3 linked regions of the Nothobranchius furzeri genome follow. The protein of the gene in region 3 interacts with the protein of the main gene of each other region in a pairwise test. Links are inferred from orthologs where the notes say so. Each region holds a gene or a part of one and is shown on either strand. Other genes may lie near its edges. The genes, in order: microtubule-associated proteins 1A/1B light chain 3A, mob1a and kxd1.

Region 1 (3,753 bases), on a different chromosome or scaffold from region 3:
GCCTTTAAGATCCTCCTTCTCACACATAAAGCTCTTAATAATAAAGCTCCATCATACATTAGTGATCTGATTGTTCCATACGTTCCTAACCGAGTACTTTGCTCTCAGAGTGCAGGTTTACTGGTGGTTCCCAGAATATCTAAAAATAGGATGGGAGGCAGATATTTTAGCTATCAGGCTCCTCTCTTGTGGAACCAGCTCCCAGCTTTAGTCCGTGAGGCAGACACCGTCTCTACTTTTAAGACTAGGCTAGGTTATCCAGAGTTATCTCTGTAGATATGCTGCTATAGGCTTAGAATGCTGGAGGACATACTGACCACTTTCCACACTCTACTACTTTCTTCTACAATCTGCTCTTTAACTGCATTATTTCCTGCTATTTCAGCTGTTAACTTTATTTTTACTCTTAAGTGTTTTCCTCCCCAGAAGAAGCTACAATGATGTTCTGCTGAGCTGTAGTGGCCTCATGGAGGGGGCCATTGGCTAGCACACTGCTGCTAACCACTTCTCCCTCTCCTGACAATAACATTTTACTCTCTTTGACATTGAATGTGCTACTCCTAGTTTACCAGATTAATTATAGATTCACTAGGATAAATACAATAAAGTTTATCTCACCAAATAGAATGTTTACTAAGAAACACAAAATTCCTGTTAAAAGGGAGTTTTTCTCTGCACTGTCGCTGCATTCTTAGTATGAGGTGACTCGATGCAACCTGCTGGGTTCCTTAAATAGGAAACTTTTTACTGATTGGCTTAATGACCTGACCTGTATTGGAATGTTTACTGTGTGAAGGTCCTTGAGACGACTCTGGTCCTGATTTGATGCTTTATAAATAAACTTGAATTGAATTGTAGAGCGCCATGTTCTTTCCAATTTTCTAGAGTTTTGTTTTAAAGTTTGTAAATCAGAATTAAACCAGGGAGCCAACTTCCTGTGCTTAATTACCTTTTTTAAAGGGGCAACATCATCTAATGCCACACGTAAAGAAGTAACATTATGAACTAAATCATCAATTTGTGAGGGGCTAGAAATGAAAATATTGCCCTCTGCTACAGTCCTCTGAGATGCTGAGGACAGTAAAGATGGAATAATTGATTTAAAAGATGCAACAGCCTTGTCAGATAAAGACAGACTATAGTGAAATTTACTTTCATGTCTCTAGAACTCAGTTATAAAAAAACTCAAAGGTGATCAAAAAGTGGTCCGAGAGGACTGGATTATGTGGAAATATCGTTATTTTCCTCACACTCTATGCCATAAATCAGCACAAGGTTTAATGTATGATGCCAGGAGTGGGTGGAGCTATGCATTCTTTGGGTAAAACCAGTATATTACTAAAGGCTACACTGAGGCTATCATTTTCAATGTCCACATGAATGTTAAAATCCCCCACTACCATGACCTTATCAGTATTTAGCACCAAATCAGATAAAAATCAGAGATCTGATCCAGAGACGGCCTCAATTTTACTGACAGGAACTGAATAACTTTTCTGAATATTAAATGACAACTTGGCTTGCCTCACTCACCTCCATAAGGCAGCGGATGACGTCAGCGCGTCAGATTACTGGCTTTGTTTGTACGGAGCTGCTGCGGAGCTTCAGACCGAGCCATCTGAAACCCTCCCAGGGCCGTTTTCATCACCTTCTTTCGCCTGAAGCCGCTGCCGGGATGCCGTCGGACCGACCGTTCAAGCAGCGGAGAACGTTCGGTAAGACGGTGCTGTCTACAGCTAGCGTTAGTGCGTTTCAATGCGTAGGTTCACACCGGATTTAACGTGTTTACATGTGTTGATGGTCGGTCTGTAGCTTCACGGTAAACGGGGTCAATGTGACGCCGCAGCCTTTACACAACCGGATCAGCTCCGTGACCCACCGCGAGGCCAAAACAACAAGTTGTGCTGAAACATGACCCCTACACGTATTCTCTGATTAAATCGGTCACCTGACAGGAGGGGAGGAGTCTGGCAGTGACCCGCTCACCTGAACGGACCAGCTGTCAGTGTCAGAAACATGAATATCAAAGCAAGGTGAGAACTATGTAGATGAACACCTGGAACGGGTTGATAGAAAGCTCTAAAACTGGAGTTTCACCTGGAACACCCTAACATCTCTGACTGGAACCACAGGATGATGTCATCAGGAAGAGACCCATCCGGCCAATGGCGAAAATGATAACCACGATTATTTTGGTTGATGCAAATATATCGCGGGATCAGGTCGCGAGGCAGTAGTCTAAGCAGGGAGGCCCAAGCTTGAAATCAGGTGTGTTGAAACTGGGAAAACACTAAAACATGTGGGATAGTGGGCCTTGAGGACCAGAGTTTGACACCCATGCTAAGGTCCAGAACGTGGTTATGATGGTTTCATTTAGAAATGAGTTTCATCCATCCTCTTCCGTTTATCTGGAATCTGGTCATGGGGGGCAGCAGCCTAAGCAGGGAGCCCAGACTTCCCTCTCCCCAGCCACTTGGGCCAGCTTCTCCGGGGAATCCCAAGGCGTTCCCTGGCCAGCTGAGAAACATAGTCCCCTCAGTGTGTCCTGGGTCTTCCTTTAGGTCTTCTCCCAGTTGGATGTGCCTGGATAACCTCACCAGGGAGGCGTCCAGGAGGCACCCCAACTAGAAGCCCGGGCCACTTCAACCGGCTCCTCTCGATGTGGAGGAGAGGCGGGTCTAGTCCGAGCTCCTCCCGGATGACTGAGCTTCTCACCCTATCTATAATTCCGTTTATTTATAAAGCGCCAAATCCCGACAAGTCCTCTTAAGGCGCTTCTCAAAGTAAACATTCCAATAGTTCAGTTCATTAATGCAATCAGTAAAAAGTTTCCTATATAAGTAACCCAGCAGGTTGCATCGAGTCACTGACTTGTGTCAGAGACTTCACAGGAAGAAACCTCCAGAGGATCCTGGATCAGCATAAGCAGCCATCTGCAGTGACACACGGAGTCGAAAGCCTACCATCCAAAATGGCTGCAATATGGCCACCAATCCAAAACACATCTTCTCTTGTTGCTGTAAACTTCCTAATCTCATCATGCTGTCTATTTGTTTTGTCGACAGCTGATCGATGCAAAGAGGTCCAGCAGATCCGAGAGCAGCACCCAAACAAGATCCCTGTAAGCTGCACACGCACGAACCTGGGGGGTAGTCCACAAAGCGAGTTTAGAACATCGATGCCTTCCTGATAAATGCCTGCCTAACAAAGTGCATCTGTGCACTCAAGGATCTGTCGGTTCCACCGACTATGCTCAGGTGGATTCAGTTCTCTTTAATTCAAGTGAACCTCACAGGCAGCCTCTGTTAATTGATGCTGGATAACTGAGAAGGGAAGCAAAGTGTTTTGCTCTTCTCTTAGACGGAACATTCATGCCCACGAGGACTATCTGAACTAAAACAGAGACCGCCAGCTGCTTGGTTATAGCCATGTATCTGGCGCTATTTAAGCCGAGCTTATGCTTCTGAGTGTGCGTCGGTACCAAGGGATCAAGGCCGCTGGCTTTGCTCCAGCATGGAAGTACCAAAAATTACAGTTCCACCCTCATCCGCTAGGGGCTAGTACCAAAACAGAGCAAGTTCCCTTTGACTCCCATGTTAAAAAAGCCAGTTTCACAGCATAAATAAACACATTTACAGCCTGGTTCAAAAAGCCATTCTAGGTTTGACTGATCTTTCTAACATTTATGACAACTCTGAGGGGGTGAGTTATTTTATAACTCTTTGACTGTAATTAAATGCTTGAAATTATGAA
Region 2 (3,753 bases), on a different chromosome or scaffold from region 3:
CAAAATAAAACCACTTGACTTTACACAGAAATAGTGACTGCCTGCAAATCTAATTTCCAACCATATCAAAATTTGTCGGTAAATGAACGGTTAGTCGCCACTTGCCAACACAAACTATTTGTGTTGGCAGATTCATCAACGGGCTACACCTGGAATTTTTTTGTGTACACTGGCCAAGCTAATTCCTCCAAAGACCATGATTTGAGCTACTCCAATGTGATGGGTCTTCTGACTTTTTGATTTTTGGGCAGTGGCTACATCCTGTACTCTGACCATTTTTACACCAGCCCCACTCTTTTCACTGATTTGCCTGCAAAGAAGATTGGTTGTTGTGGAACTGTCAAGAAAGGTACAACCGGATTCCCTCAGAAGAGTGCCAACGATCGACCTGCAGAAAACGGCTGAGCGGGGGAACATCTGATGGTTAAGAAGAGACAAACTTCTGTTTGTCAAGTGGATGGACACAAAGGTAGTTAACATTTGCCCCACTGTCAATCAGGCTTTCAGTGGGCAGACAATAAAGAGACAAATAAAAAAGGGTGGTGTGTGGGAAAATGAATCCATCCCTGTTCCTAACTGCGTGGTTGATTACAACAAGAATGTAGGTGGGGTGGGTTTGTCGGATGCACTGATTTCTTCTTACAGATTGCAGTACAAAACAAGCAAATGGTACAAGGCTTTCTTCTATCACTTTGTTGATGTAACAGCAGCAAACAGTTACCTTCTCCACAAGGGGCTACACAAATTGAGACAGGACCACACTCATTCAAAGCTACTCACCCACAAAGCTTTCATGGAGCAGTTGGCCTAGGAGATACTGGAGTCTTCTAAGCCTTCAGTATTTCATTGAGGTTTGAAGCTACAGCTGCATTTTTCCAAAAGCCATGTTTTTTTTATATATTTTTTTATACATTTATGTTAGTTAATGCAATTAGTACTTTTGCTCACACTGAATGTTGCTGCATGTGGAGTCAATTAAATTTTATATTTTACGCTGGTTAAAATGGTGAATGGTCATTGTAGTCCATTCTTGTGATCATCAACATAAAATGCTTGAAAACAAGAGGCCCTGAGACTTAGTACTACAGACTTTACTCTGAACCTCCAAATTCCTTCTGTCTCTGTCAACTTGCAGACAATTTTGTATTCCCCAGTGAGTAAAATATGAGGATAAATAAACAACAGTATGACTTAACAAGCGTAAACTCAAAATAAGGAATGCAAATTTTCCTAAAAAGACTGTAAAACAAAACATGTCACTGTATTTTCATACTTTTGTATAAAACAATTTTAATAAAAATGAATTCCTCCTGCACAAAAAAAGTTTATGAGTGTCATACCTATTCTCTACCTGAGAGGGGCGCTAGACTACCCGATGAACTGCTGCAATTAGCCAACAGAGGAAGAGTCACTGTGTGGGTGCAGTTTCAGTTCAGCCAAAGTAGCCGTCAACGCTATTTAGGTGGCAGTGCTTATCCCCAAAATACGTTTCTAAAACAAAATTCCTGCCTTCTAAACTAGGACCAGGAGTTCCAGCCGAGATTCCCCAACAGCGTCTTCGTCAAGATGAGCTTCTTGTTGTGAGTAAAGTGTGAAAAAGTGCTTCCTGACTTTCAGTCGGAGAGCTTGTGGTTAATGTTAGCTGCGCTTCTTCGTACTTCGCCGACAGAAGGGAAGTTCAACCGAGACACTAACAAAAAACAGACAGCTAATCGAATGTCAAAACTACGGGGTCAAATGTAAATCGTTTCCCCTTATATGTAATATCATTTGTCGACGTTTTTCGATTTTCACCTACGTTTATTTATAACCACTTTTTGGCAGAAATAACTTGGAGAAAAAATAGTTACGCTAACTTGATTAGCATAATAATTTACGCTAACATTAAGTTAAAACTGGTGCTCAGCTATAGTGTCTTAATCTTTTGGAGATCTCCAAATGCTGAAGAAGTTAATCTCTGTCTTGTGTTTACAGTCACGCCGTTAGACACGGTCACATTTCCTGTCACTTGCAACAACGAGGTTACCACATATTACAGACATGCTTTAGTTCCTCTGAAAACCAAAAGTCACAGTTTTATGTTAGTTTAACGAATGTGTGAAAGCAGCTAGCTAATTGCACGTTTGATTTAAATATGATCTGCCACACCAAATCAAGTAGAACAAATTAACCAAATGAAGCAAAAATGCTGTAAAAAGGCAAAACACAGACGAAACCTAGAAAATAGATGTTTTTTTTAGTTGACTCAGTCCATCAGTTTTGCATCGTTTCTATTTTAGAGTGTTAACATGCGATTGAAGGTTCATTATAATCTGTTGACAGCTTTGATAATTGGATTGAAAAATTTCTCTTTAAAACAATTGAATGACGCATATACATTAATAAGTGCCGTAACGATACATTTATTAACTATCAAGTCGTATTATTCATCAAGACAAATACGCAGGCAGGAAAAGGCTGAGACTTTTTTCTTCTAATAAACTATATAAATGAGTGTCTAATTGTGCTGTAGACACATGCAGTCAATAATTTGGCACTTTAGTGCACCTTAGTTAAAATATCCTTCCAAAACGGTCAGTGTTGCACAATCGTCAGGTAAAAAATGTACACTGCATTTGAATTTAAATCTGCCATCACTATTGGCTAAGAGGTATTCTATGATGTAAGCTGGTACATTACGATGTCACAATGTTGTTGTTGGCACCTGTGTTAGTGTATTTGTTAGTGGCTCCATCCTCTCAGTCTGCTAGGTAACGGCATTTGTTGCATTTTTCAAACAGGAAGTGGGAGTGGAGTAAGACGTGTAGGGGGTGACTTGCCCTTTAAGCAGCTTTCCATAGAGCATAACACAGTCTTCCGTTGTTTACATTTATTTATTTACTTATCTTTGTGTTCTCTCTTCAGTGGCAGTCGCTCATCTAAGACCTTCAAGCCGAAGAAAAATATCCCAGAGGGCTCCCACCAGTATGAGCTACTGAAACATGCTGAAGCAACGCTGGGCAGTGGGAACCTGAGACAGGCTGTCATGCTCCCAGAGGGCGAGGATCTCAATGAATGGATTGCTGTCAACAGTGAGTGAACAAATACAAAAAGCCCTATGCACTTATTATGCAAACAAGCATTTAAAACTGTCTAGAGGCCAATGTTAAGACGAATCTTTGATGATCTTTGTAAAAATGGCTTAGTGTTTGCAACACTTTGTGGTGTATGAAGAGTACAAAGTACATACAAACTAGGGTTGTCATGGTGTGAAAATTTAACCTCACGGTTATTGTGACCAAAATTATCACGGTTTTCGGTATTATCGCGGTATTTTTTTTAAACGTGTTACATTTTCTAAATAAATCCTGTCTATCAGGAAAATATTGTCCTCACTTTGTGTCTCACTTTTGCCTAAAATGTGTTATTTTGTAATTATGTTGTTTAGTTGTTTACATTTTTCCCCTTTAGTCTTTAAAATACCAATATTTGCCCATAACTTCTTATTTTTGTCTGTTTGATGTCATCATTTTAAAAATATTAGATCAGGTGATGCTCAGTACTCAAGTAGCCTTCTAATCAGATACTTTTTTACCCTTACTTGAGTAATAAACCCTATATCAGGAAAATATTGTCCTCAGTTTGTGTCCTTCCAGTAAGCTTTGCAGATTTGGGAAAATGTCATCAGGCAGTAATCATTGTTAAATTTATAATTATTCTCGGAGAGAGACCAACTCTTATCTGCCCCTGGGAGCCCCGTAATGCATAGCGTCA
Region 3 (3,753 bases):
AGGGTTGTCCATCATTTTCTTGATTCTCTGGAGATTCCTGGAGATTCCTTCTTTGCTTTATCTCCTCTAGCGGAGTCCTGGCTGAGTCCTTGAAAGGGCTTGGAGTTCCTCCATCGTGTTGGCCAGTGATCTAACAATGGCCATTATGATCGATGGAAGAGATGGTTTGAATTTCCTCTTTCTCTGTCTCCGTTTTGCTCACGCTCTGCACCCACGCTTCTTGCGTTTTAGTTCATTTGGGATTTGTGGCTTCAGTTGAGGTATTATTTCAGCCTTTCCCATGTTAATCAGCTGCTCCTGATTGTAAACAGCTCGTTGCCATGGTTACGCATCATAACAAATGCTCAAAAAGTGAAAAATGCTAAAAAAAAAAATAGCAGTAAAAATCCTCCAAGCTTCACAGCACCAGAAACAGAAAAGTAAAGTGTCCAAAAAAATACAGTTTTTCTTGAGAAACTAGAAGAAAAAATGCCCAAGAAAAGGCAAAACGTACATATAGTCAACAGAGCTACTCCAATATGCAGCCACAGTGGCGCAATTCCGGAAAAAGATAAAGATATTTTAGTTTTTAAATTTGTTTTTGTTTTTACATTTTTAAAACCCAAGACAAATTTAATATGAAATGGATATAGGGCGTTTTCAATCTTAGAAGGCCAACCAAAATCTGTTTTTCAATCACAGCTTTTCAATAACTCAGCTCAGCAGTTTTATGTTTTTGAGAATTTTCTAATTGAAAATTACGGATTTGTTGGAAAAACACAAAACAAAAACAAAGATAGAAGCAGAATGGACATTAATGTTAAAGCTAAATGTGGCAAAAAGAGGAAATCAGCATGTTTTATGAAATGTTAAATTGGTATTTATAAAGTTAAATAGAACTGTACAGATTCATCTTGACTTGATGACTAAATAACTGAATATATCTCTCAATTTCAAATGAATTGTTTAACGAATTCACGGTAATATGTTGGTGGATGGATTTATAACTAAAAAAAAAAAAGGCCAGAGTCCAGAAAGTTCAATGGGGTTAGAAAAGTCAAGAACACCCCCAGAAAGAGCTAGAAAATGCCAGAAAATGACCAGTTGTGTGCACCATTATACAGCAGGTGGCGGCAATGAGTCGCAAAAGTTGAAAGATACCCGCCGAAGAAGAAAATGAACCAGAAACAGTCATGTAAACAGAAGAAACAGAAATACACGGAAGTGTTTTGTTTTTGTTTAATTTGCCTGTCAAATGTAGTGTTCTGTTGAAAACCAAGGTTGATAACAACACCTGTTGAGGTAAATGATAATATTATTCCTTTATTTTTCACGTAGTATTACCTTTAGCGCAGAAAAACCGCTCGGATGTGAATAAAACAGCCGATTATTTGGATTAGTGGATTTGCAACATTTTTCTCTCGTAATATTTGTAGAGAACTTTAAGTATTGCCATGCCTGATTTGGTGCGTGTTGTTTCGTTTATGAAAATGCAGGTTTTTCGTCGTCATGGTGGAGCCCACAGCCTCCAGTGTGTTCTGTAACAGGATCCTGAGCATGGTTAACTCTGAAGATGTGAATGCCATCATCCAAGCTCAAAGACACATGTGAGTATCAGGCTGTTCTTGTCTGTGAGGCCTGATTACACTGTGTGTAAAAATTTGAGTTGTTTTTTTATGTCAGTTGTAACGTTTCTGCCTTTTTTCTATTATGATAGTTATTTTCTGCCTAATCTTTGTTTCATCAGGCTCGATCGCTTTGAGAAAACCAATGAAATGCTGATCAACTTTAATGGACTGTCAAACGTGCGACTGCAGCAGATGAACGAGCGCTTCCTGCACCACACCCGCACCCTGGTTGAGATGAAGAAGGATCTGGATAGCATCTTCAGAAGAATCAGGTTAGTCATTACTCTGCCTGCACAAACAGGGACGCACAGCCCAACCTCTAATAACTGATCTCCTTTTGTTTCCTCCAGGACATTAAAAGGGAAGATTTCTAAACAATACCCTGATGCTTTCAGCAGTAAGTTAACATTTGCTTATTATCCAAAACAATTCTCAACTTGTAATGAGTTCATTAGTCTGTTGATTTCAATCAATGAAATCAGTAAGTGTTACCTGCATAAATTATTAACATTTCTGTTTTTATTTACTTCTTTTATGGCCTTTTAAAAGTGTTTTTCTGGCATCAAGTAGTAGATTTATTTATTTCTAAATACAATAAAACAGTATTGTTACAAACATTGAAACTAATTTGATTTCTATTCAATTCACAACTACTTTATTAATCATCATGGTAGAGAGGGGGGATGGGTGCAGGGAAGGTGCTAGTTAAGAAGATGCTCTCTGAAGAGCGGGGTCTTCAGGAGTTTCTTGAAAATTGAAAAGGAAGCTGCTGTCCAAGCACTACCAGAATAGGGGCTTGCTTTTCAATTTTCAAGAAACTCCTGAAGACCCTGCTCTTCAGAGAGCATCTTCTTAACTAGCACCTTCCCTGCACCCGTCCCCCCTCTCTACTGTCCACTCCTTTGTTCCTTCCTCTTCATGATTGATGTCAAGTTGTTGTTATTGTTGTTGTTAGCCTCAAGGGCAACATGCCGATTATCACTTGTAAGTCGCTTTGGACAAAAGCGTCTGCTAAATACATAAATATAAACATAATCACAGAGGGAAATTGATTGCTGTAGTAGCTCAGAATAATAATAATAATCAAGTCATCAAAGAGTTATTGTATATTACAATGGCTGTTGGCAGGAAGGATCTCCAGTAGCGGTCAGTGTTGCAGCGAAACTGAAGAAGCCTCTGACTGAAGACACTCTTCTGTTGTCGGACAGTCTTGTGAAGAGAATGCTCAGGGTTGTCCATCATTTTCTTGATTCTCTGGAGATTCCTGGAGATTCCTTCTTTGCATTATCTCCTCCAGTGGCTCTGAAACTGCCGAAACTCTGGCTGAGTCCTTGAAAGGGCTTGGAGTTCCTCCATCGTGTTGGCCAGTGATCTCACATTGCCCATTATGATTGATGGAGGAGATGGTTTGAATTTCCTCTTTCTCTGTCTCCATTTTGCTCCCGCTCTGCACCCACGCTTCTTGCGTTTTAGCTCATTTGGGATTTGTGGCTTCAGTTGAGGTATTATTTCAGCCTTTCCAATGTTAATCAGCTGCTCCCGAATGTAAACAGTGTGTTGCCATGGTTACACATCATAACAAAGCTCAAAAAGTGAAAAAAGCTAAAAAATAGCTGTAAAAATCCTCCAAGCTTCACAGCACCAGAAACAGAAAAGTAAAGTGTCCAAAAAAAATACAGTTTTTCTTGAGAAACTAGAAGAAAAAATGCCCAAGAAAAGGCAAAACTTACATATAGTCAACAGAGCTACTCCAACATGCAGCCACACAGAGCAGCGCAGTTCTGGGTGGTACAGGGAGTTTGTTTGTGTTGAAAAGTTTTTAGAAAACATTGTTCTTCTAAATCTCCAACAGCCATTTCAATAAATCCGGGTTTTTACTTGACAGATGTCCATGAGTCACCTATTTTGGATGATGATGATAATGATGAAGAATTTGACCCAGTACCTCCAAGTTTTGCCACGACAATCACAGCGGCCACCTCGGAGCAAAGCACCGATTCCTGTGACACAAGCCCCGATGTGGTTTCACCCGCCGTCAGCCGATGCTCAGAAGATCTCTCTCAGGAGCCTACCGACACACCAACGTCTGATGGCTTAGAGACAGGAGTTCTGCAAGATGAGGGTCCTGACTCTGTACATGAAGAAT

Evidence for each region.
Region 1: the proteins of kxd1 (region 3) and microtubule-associated proteins 1A/1B light chain 3A interact in binary tests that used the Homo sapiens proteins (3 or more experiments, as listed by UniProt). The two-hybrid records come from large-scale screens. The link is inferred for Nothobranchius furzeri from reciprocal best matches to the Homo sapiens genes KXD1 and MAP1LC3A.
Region 2: the proteins of kxd1 (region 3) and mob1a interact in binary tests that used the Homo sapiens proteins (3 or more experiments, as listed by UniProt). The two-hybrid records come from large-scale screens. The link is inferred for Nothobranchius furzeri from reciprocal best matches to the Homo sapiens genes KXD1 and MOB1A.

What each region holds. Positions count from the first base shown.
Region 1 is NC_091743.1:78,251,256-78,255,008, reverse strand, and holds the start of microtubule-associated proteins 1A/1B light chain 3A, read left to right. Parts: upstream 1-1,546; 5' UTR 1,547-1,549; coding exon 1,550-1,715; intron 1,716-3,065; coding exon 3,066-3,121; intron 3,122-3,753. UniProt on the Homo sapiens protein: Ubiquitin-like modifier involved in formation of autophagosomal vacuoles (autophagosomes). While LC3s are involved in elongation of the phagophore membrane, the GABARAP/GATE-16 subfamily is essential for a later stage in autophagosome maturation.
Region 2 is NC_091757.1:46,534,489-46,538,241, reverse strand, and holds the start of mob1a (MOB kinase activator 1A), read left to right. Parts: upstream 1-1,419; 5' UTR 1,420-1,566; coding exon 1,567-1,580; intron 1,581-2,904; coding exon 2,905-3,071; intron 3,072-3,753. UniProt on the Homo sapiens protein: Activator of LATS1/2 in the Hippo signaling pathway which plays a pivotal role in organ size control and tumor suppression by restricting proliferation and promoting apoptosis.
Region 3 is NC_091744.1:73,271,028-73,274,780, forward strand, and holds the start of kxd1 (kxDL motif-containing protein 1), read left to right. Parts: upstream 1-1,133; 5' UTR 1,134-1,281; intron 1,282-1,475; 5' UTR 1,476-1,488; coding exon 1,489-1,586; intron 1,587-1,726; coding exon 1,727-1,879; intron 1,880-1,957; coding exon 1,958-2,004; intron 2,005-3,492; coding exon 3,493-3,753.